Rattus norvegicus: one gene and its partner. The protein of the gene in region 2 purifies or fractionates together with the protein of the main gene of each other region. This does not show direct contact. Links are inferred from orthologs where the notes say so. Each region holds a gene or a part of one and is shown on either strand. Other genes may lie near its edges. The genes, in order: Vapb and Rab3gap2.

What was found.
Region 1: the proteins of Rab3gap2 (region 2) and Vapb purify together in Homo sapiens (affinity purification with mass spectrometry; 4 studies listed by BioGRID and IntAct, counting the BioPlex papers as one, with this or other methods). This does not show direct contact. The link is inferred for Rattus norvegicus from reciprocal best matches to the Homo sapiens genes RAB3GAP2 and VAPB.

Annotation. Positions count from the first base shown.
Region 1 is NC_086021.1:182,952,907-182,957,255, reverse strand, and holds the start of Vapb (vesicle-associated membrane protein-associated protein B), read right to left. Parts: upstream 3,010-4,349; 5' UTR 2,894-3,009; coding exon 2,836-2,893; intron 2,373-2,835; exon of another isoform or gene 2,290-2,372; coding exon of another isoform or gene 2,232-2,289; intron 1-2,231. UniProt on the Homo sapiens protein: Endoplasmic reticulum (ER)-anchored protein that mediates the formation of contact sites between the ER and endosomes via interaction with FFAT motif-containing proteins such as STARD3 or WDR44.
Region 2 is NC_086031.1:99,344,603-99,348,413, reverse strand, and holds part of Rab3gap2 (rab3 GTPase-activating protein non-catalytic subunit), read right to left. Parts: intron 1,544-3,811; coding exon 1,370-1,543; intron 1,281-1,369; coding exon 1,174-1,280; intron 1-1,173. UniProt on the Homo sapiens protein: Regulatory subunit of the Rab3 GTPase-activating (Rab3GAP) complex composed of RAB3GAP1 and RAB3GAP2, which has GTPase-activating protein (GAP) activity towards various Rab3 subfamily members (RAB3A, RAB3B, RAB3C and RAB3D), RAB5A and RAB43, and guanine nucleotide exchange factor (GEF) activity towards RAB18.

The DNA of each region.
Region 1 (4,349 bases), on a different chromosome or scaffold from region 2:
AGTGTCTTCAACAGCAGTGAAAGACCCATGAGTCTCTGGGTGACAAGTACTTTGATTAGCTTGTAAATGTCATTCATTTAGACGAACCTCAGAAATCAGAGTCATCATTCTGGATAACATGAAGGAGCCCAGTTAAATCTGAAGGTTCTCACCCTCAAATGAATTCCCTTAACACAAAGAGCCAATTTACTGGGCCTCTCATTTTACCACCTCAGCACTCAGCTTAAAGCAAACAAACCAAGAAACTGAACACCCCAGTTGGGATTGGTGGTGCCACATACAATCCCAGCACCAGGGAGTTATGGCAGGAAAACCACTCGCTCCATACTGGCCTGAAAGCTTAGTGAGACTTCATCTGCAAGGCAAAGGCTCCACACTAATACATGGCTGGCACTCACAAGAAACACCCCCCAACCCCCATCAAGTTTCCACACATCCCTGGACGACTCTTCCAGAGTGAAGACATTCGGACACTAAACCCCTGGACTATCTCCTTGGCAACCAGTGATGTTGGCTGGAGAAGTGTCACCTTCTTAGCACCACCACCGACCCAAAGGTAAGAGGGCAAATGGCACCCTAGGTCACACACACTGAATTGGAAGAGCTGGAACACTCTCCTCCTTCAGAGGCAGTAGTGTATGGGGGCTTGGGGTATCAAGATCAGTCAAGTCATTACACCCAGTGGGTGTGTAGACCTGACACTGTGTACTAGCCAGTCTGGCCCTCTACTCTGACCCGCAACTCCTAACCACAGCATCTCCAAGAAGCAAGTACTCCGGCTTATAGACCTCCATGCACAGTACTGGCCAGGCCCGGACACTCCCACCCACTTCCCCCTTTCTGCCACTGGACCTTTGTAACCAGATTCAATGATACTCTGTCACCTCCCATTCCCTGGGAAGTTGTTTCCCCACACTCTCTAGTCTGGGTCACCTCATCTGCCCCCTTTTTCCCTGGATGCAAAGGAAAGGTGGGTGTCGGAGAACAGCAGCCGAGAAAACCAACTGACATGACAGCCCCTCCCTAAATTGAAAATATGTCTACGTAAAAGTGGATTCAACCTACTTGACTTTTCTGAACATCACCACTGATCTCAACATGCTCCAGACTTACATCAGCCTACAGGCCCACAGAACCCTATAGCACAAAGTCCATCTGATCCCAACAGGCTATCCAAAGATGTGTTAAACCAGCAATACCAGCAACGGGGAAGCAGAGACAGAAGGATCATGTCAGCCTGAGTGGACCTCAGACGGTGAGAACTACAGATCTCAAAGAGAAGGCCAGTGCGACAGTCGGCAGACAAAAGCACTGCTATGCCAGACGCCTGCGAATTGTCTTCTGACCTCCACACACTCACTGTGACACACATACCCCTCACACACACGATACATAAACACACAATAAATAAAAACACACGCCGAAGAGCTTCCGTGCATGTGCACCCCCCACCACAGAGATGGACACTCTGTAGACATGAGGGGATGCAAACACAAAACAATTATGCAGAGGTACAGTGATAACCAGATGGCGGCGGTTCACGGCTGTGCGGTCATGCACAGGTCCATAACCTGGAAAAGGATCAGAATTCAAATTCCCAAACAGTTGCTACCAAAGGCACACCACTTTCCTGTCACTACCAAGTGGGATTCCTGGTAAGTGGGGGAGGGGGGGACCTCTGGTGCGGAGGATCCACATTTAAACGGATGCTTTTATTTAAAATCTGTTGTGTACGTGTCTGTGTGTTTGTTCACAAGCCTGCTAGGCTGCACCTGCTGGGGGTAAGAGGACAACATGCAGAAGTCAGTTCTCTCTTTTGACCATGTGAGTCTCAGGGATTGAACTAAAGTCCTCAGCCTGGGCAGCAGGAGCTTTTAAATGGTGAACCATCTCTACAGCCCAGGGTCAGGCGGCCTGAGGTTTGTGTTTCTAGGTTAACCGGAGGGCCTTTGCTTCCTTGTAAGTGTCTTTGCACACTCTGAACCTGGAAGGCAAGGTGGACATTCACAGCTATGAAGCATTTCCCAAGAGTTTGTGGGTACGATGGCTAAAAGTGTTTGAAAGTCCGAAATCAGGACTCAAAGGCGACGACTAGGTAAGAGCTGTGATCCTACGCTACTTCCCAACGGCAGAGAAACGGGTGACTCTCAGCCACCCAAAACCGTGAGCACCAGCTGTGGCCTACATGTAGGCAATACACAGAGGATCACATTGGCCAACCTGAAGCACACCTCCATTGAGTCCAACTTCATCCTTCCCTTCCCAGTACTTCCAGCCGCCTGCCGCCATCTTGCTTAGGTTGTTGAGCTTTATAGGCCTCCAGTGCCCAGTCTCATGACTCAAAATATGCAACGAAGCAAGGAACAGGCTGGGCACGGACCCTGTTGCTTTCTGGACCTTAAAATTAGTGAATAGAAATATGAATACACACATACACACACACTTCTGTGTGTATATACACATATATAGTACATGTATGTATACACACTATCTATAACATGCATATGCCATGCATACACATCTGTATAAATGCACTTTTTTAGTCACCTGTGCACGCCTGCGTGTATAAAGTTCACCTTTACACACAAATGTATACAAAAAGTGTACTACATAGAAAGTATGCACAGACTTCGTGGGCTGTAGACCCCCGACAGCTCGCTGCCCCGGGGGAGCTGAGGAGAAGAGTACTCAGGCCGATTCCATGCACTGACTCCACATGCATGCATTAGGCGCCTGGTGCATGCCGGCCTCAGGCGGACAGTGTCCTGCCCTCAGGGCGCGTCCCTTCCGGAGCCGGCCGCTGAGTGACAGCTCCCGGGTCGGCCGCCCGCTTACCTCGGAACTTGAGCTCGTGCTGTGGCTCGAGACTCAGGACCTGCTCCACCTTCGCCATGGTCCTCCCCGTCGGGGGCGGCGGCGCGGGCGGGGGGCGGCGGCCTGGGTGGCGGGGCACAGGGGCGGAGGGCGAGGCCGCGGTGCCGGGCGAGCTCACGGCACGCACGCACGTATGTACGCACGCCCCGACGCACGCACGTACGCACGCACGTAGCAGCTGCCGGGCTCCGGCAGTGGCCAGAGGCTACAGCGGCAAAATGAAGACTGCGCATGCGCACGGTTTTCTGGGCCACTGCGCAGGCGCAGCCGGGAGGTTGAGGGCGGAGCCTCCGTGGCAGTGGGCGTGGTCTCTCGAGGCTTGGGAGGAGGGGGCGGTCTCCAGCTAGACTGTTCAGTAAGCGCCTGTGGGGAAAACTGTTGTTAAGTGCTTTACTTAATAATAATAATTAACAAGAATAAACTTCCACTTTCTTCACGCACGTGTGGTGCCAGGCTCTACTGAGCCTGAATATAATAAAGTACTTATTATTCTTACAAACACAATGTTTACTTACGGGTTAGTGATATGTGCCAGGCCTTGTGACAGTTCATAAATAACAATTATAAAATATAATAAACTGGCAATTACTGTTTGCTTATTTCGTGCCACTCTGCTGAATGCTTTCAGTAACTGTCATAAATAAAAGCTACTCTGCATTCAGTGTTTACCAAACCACAGAGCACTACACCGAACCGTTTGCTGATAGCATTATTTGTTTATGCAAGAAATATTCAGAAATACAATAACCAGAAAACGACCCGCTTCAGACCTTGCTAGGACCTCACTGAGAGAATAAATTAGTTACACACATAAATCTCATTAAAAGTGTCTGGGAGCCTAGCTCAGTCTAATGCCCAAAATAAGCCCTGTATGCTCTTATTAGCGTGTGACTAGTATTTCATTGTGTAAACATATACTATGTAAAACAGACCCTAATAGCATCCTCATCAGACATTCGTATATGGGGTAAATATGGCTCTATATGGCAGGAATATCCATGTTGTTCATGAATTTCCCATGTTCTATATACCTGAGCTCGTTTTCCCAGTAAAAGTTTTCAAGGGGTAGTCTCTGTCTTTTAGCTTGTGCATCTAGTCCATTTATACTTATTATATTTGCTGTTGTACCCAGATTTATTTCTGCCACCTTATGTTGTTTCTCCCATTGGATGTACTGTTTCTTTGCCTCTCATTTCTTGCTCTTCAAGATTGGTTTTTCCTCTCAATCTGTTCTCTCCGTGTGTGTTCTGTTACTGCTGCTTCAGTGCTTTAACTTTTTAATGCGTGTAATGCTTTATGAAAGCCTAGCTTTTATGACATTTGTGTTCTGCTGTCTTGAAGTTGAAGGGCTGCAGTTCATCATCGTCACCCACTCCTCAATTATATGCCTTGTGCTTTTGAATGAAACACATTTCCCTCGGTCTCCGTTCTGTGTTTTGCCACACTGTCTGGTTTGTCATACTGTGAAATCTTGT
Region 2 (3,811 bases):
AAGTTTTTATTTCCTCCTGCATTTCTGCATGAAATGACACAACCTTAACAGCATTTGTCACCTTGGGAAAAGTCAAAGTGAAGGTCCTCATGCCAGCCTAGCTGGTTCCAGTATGTCTCTCTTTACTACTTTTCTTATATTTGGGTCAGAACAATAACCCAGAAACAGCCCTACTATGTACATAGCTAACTCATGTCCAAGGTTAATCTCGCTGGAGTCTCGACTGTCGGTGAAGGTCTCACTTCCCACACTCTTAGGATCATGATCTTCCTGTGGCACCCTGGTCTGAAGTACCCTAGGGCTTTGGACCCCCGTTGAATGGCTGACTTACCACTGGTCACAAAACCTATTATCCTGCCCCTTCTTCACTTAAGGAAGGCATCAATCCTTCAGGCTCGACTCCAAGATGAGACAAGACAATGAACATCCTGTAGACAATTCCCTGGCCACCTCCTTCTTAAAGCTCCTTTGTAAGTGATCTTGGAAATGGCTCCCCTTGAATCCAAATTCTTTCTTTGAGGTTCTTATCTCAGGCTGCCTCCTCGTATAAAATCTATCCTTCCTCCCTCTTCATAAAGGCTCTTTACTATAACAACTGTATATTAGAATAGACTAGCAGAGGGGTCTGAACAATAGACTTGCCTTTGTTAAACCTTAACAAGAAAATGATACCAGAATGAGAATTCTGTCCTTGTCCCCTATCATTCTGAGTCCCACATGCAGAGTGCTAATCACAGTCAGTCTCAAGGGCGAAAGGAATCACAGAGCTGGGATGAGAATATAACTCCTGAAATCTGAATAAATTATCAACCTGGGTGTAAGAAAGCAACACTTAATGACACAGCTGGCCACTGTACTAATTACACTGGCTTCACACTGCTTAAGGCTCAGGAAGGCCAGCAAGGGCAACTTAACTAGGTCCTGTCTCCAGGAAGTAAATGTGAAAGGGCTGGGGAACATGTTGTTCAGTGTTGGGAGTCCTTGCCTAGCAAACATGAAGCCATCAATAGGTTCAAAACTGAGTAGACGCACACACACGCACACACACACACACACGCACGCACACACACATGCACGCACGCCCCCCACACACACACACACAGCAGTGGGCTCCAGGACAAGCCTGCCCTGTGCACACATGTGCAGACATAGTCAGCAGATGCAGACTTTTACCTCTGGGTCTTTGTTCCACTGAACCACATATTCCCAGCAGCAGTGCGCATGCAGCACGTCAAGCTCAAGGCTACAAGGGAACTGCTCGTAGGCTAGGCGGAGCAAGTCTGGAAGACACAAGAGGGAACAGCATCCTTTTGGTCACAAGAATGTCACTCCACCCTGGATGCCACAGTGCTCATCATTCGGGTGTCACCTGGTACGGCTCCTAGGTCTGTCTCCACCTCTGACACCTCAGGGGGACTTCGGGCAATACCTTCTCTGGGCTCGTCTGGATTCTCTACGTCTTTTTCTCTGTTGGCACATTTCAACAATTCAGGGCTGAGGTCCTGTTTAAATATCCACTTGGCCACGCTGTCTGCAATACCACCTACAGGTTCGAGACAAGAAAGAAAAGGAAACCTGGTAAAATCTGAGCAGCAATGTGCTAAATGGAGACAAACACAGAGTGGGGGACGCAGATACACAGCACATTCACTTCTGAACCTGAATCTGGTGATGCCAAAGCCATGAGGTTTAAAGCACATTAATACCTATCATCTAACTTGGAGGGCAAGCAAGAGGCTGGAATCTGGGGCGCACTTCCTCATGGAGACAATCTCAATGTAACATACACGGACGTGTATCAATCCTATATGCTACACACTTGCCAGGTCCATAAATTCAAAATACCCTTTACAGACACAGATGGAGGAAACACGACTGTTTAAAGGTTCCTCTCGTGGTTTGTTTGAAAAGGGGTCTGGCGTCAGGCTGGCCTCAAACAAATCACCAAACTGAGGGTGAGTGACCTTGAATCTGTGCTGTTGCTGCTGCTTCCACCTCTGGAGTGAGGGAGGAAGTGTGAGCTGCCACACGCAGCTCGAGGTGCTGGCAATGCAGCCTACGACTGTGCAAGCAGACAATCGCTCTGCCCCTGGAACTAATGCCCACCTCATGTTAGTTTATTTTCATTTAAAACAATGCATGCGTCAGAGGAGGATGCCGGGTGTCCTGCTTTGTAGCCCTGCCTGACTCACTGACAGGGTCTCCCTGCACCTGGAGTGCAGATGGCAGCGCTCCAGGCCGCCATATCTCCCACAGCTGTGGGTAGAGTGCACAGCCACACTTAGCTTTTCTGTGGTTCAAAGATCTCAACTCAGGACCTCATGCTTGGCAGCAAGCACACTTACCCAGCCCATATTACATCTAATATACAACTAACTTCCCCTGTTATAAAATATGAGTAAAATTTAGTCATAATTTATGTTTTACTCATCAAGAGGATACAAACATTTATATGAGCTGAAAATATTCAAGACATCTGAAAAATTCTGTTCATTACTGAACAAAACTATATACTTAAAAATAACAGACACTAGCCCCCACCCCAACCCTCGCTCTTATCTTTTGGGGTGGAGGTAGAGGCAGGAATTTAGCATTGCTATGCTACCCACTACGACTCACTTGAACTCAAACGTTCACCCCCCATCTGCTTCTAGAACAGTTGAGACTAATGTGTGCCACCATGCCTGGCTTATCTCTTACTTCCGTTCAAATGGAGTTTCCCAGAAAAGGGATGCCTCATGGTAAACACCCTCGTCTGTGAAAAACGACCCCAGCAGGGTGCTGGGAAGTCAGATTTCACGTCTGGCTTCTAAATGACTTTGTACCTGTTCCTCTATAACTATGCCCCTGACTATACTTTTTGGGTTAATAGTAAAAAAGTGTACCCCAACCTTCTTTAGGGGACAAACAACAGGGTTACAGTAAACTTACAATTGAAAAAAATTGTTACAAACTTATAAATAATGAGAAAACAAGTTAAGTAAAAATCTATAAACACAAGGCTGGACAAATGCTCAGTGTCTGAGAGTTGGTACTACCCAACCATGAGGCCTGGGATACAAAGCTCGTTTCCCTTGTAACAAGCTAGGCGTGCTAGACACCCTTGTAAGCCCATTTCTGAGACGACAGAGACAGAAGGATCCCTTGGTCTTGCTGTCTTCCAACCTAGCCTAGAAAGTTTGAATCCTAGGCTTGGAAAGAGACTCTGCCTCAAAGGAACAGAAGGAGATTGACTAAGGACACGTGACACCCACTTCATGTATGTGTACAAAATCAGTGTACCTGTACGAACACACACACACACACACACACACACACACACACACACACACACACCCCTCTTAAAAAGCTGTAAGCACTTGTATAAATATTCTGGTACCCAGTGCCTCCTAGGGACGCGCAGGGAAGCTGAAAACAAAGGCGCTAACCCCTCGAACCAGAACGCCGCGCCCACAGAAAGCCACGTACCAGGGAAGGAAACTGTGAGAAGTACACAGCTGCTCTCACAGGGGTAGCTGTGGGAGAGCCATGAACAGAGGCTGGGAAGAGTATAGGCACCAGGGTGCATCTGGTCTACTGCACAGAAGAGAATCTACACAACTAACTGTACATTCAAAAAAGACAGCGCAGAGGACTCTTGGTGCCCCTGACACAGAACAAGCGCCTTGTAACAGATCTGAGCTAATGATGTACAAATTAAAATGCCACTCTAAGTCTCAAGTGTATGGCAACTATGAGGCAATGAAACATAAAACATACTTCAGGAACATTTAAAAACACAGAATGAGGAAGAAGGGATGAAGTTATTAGC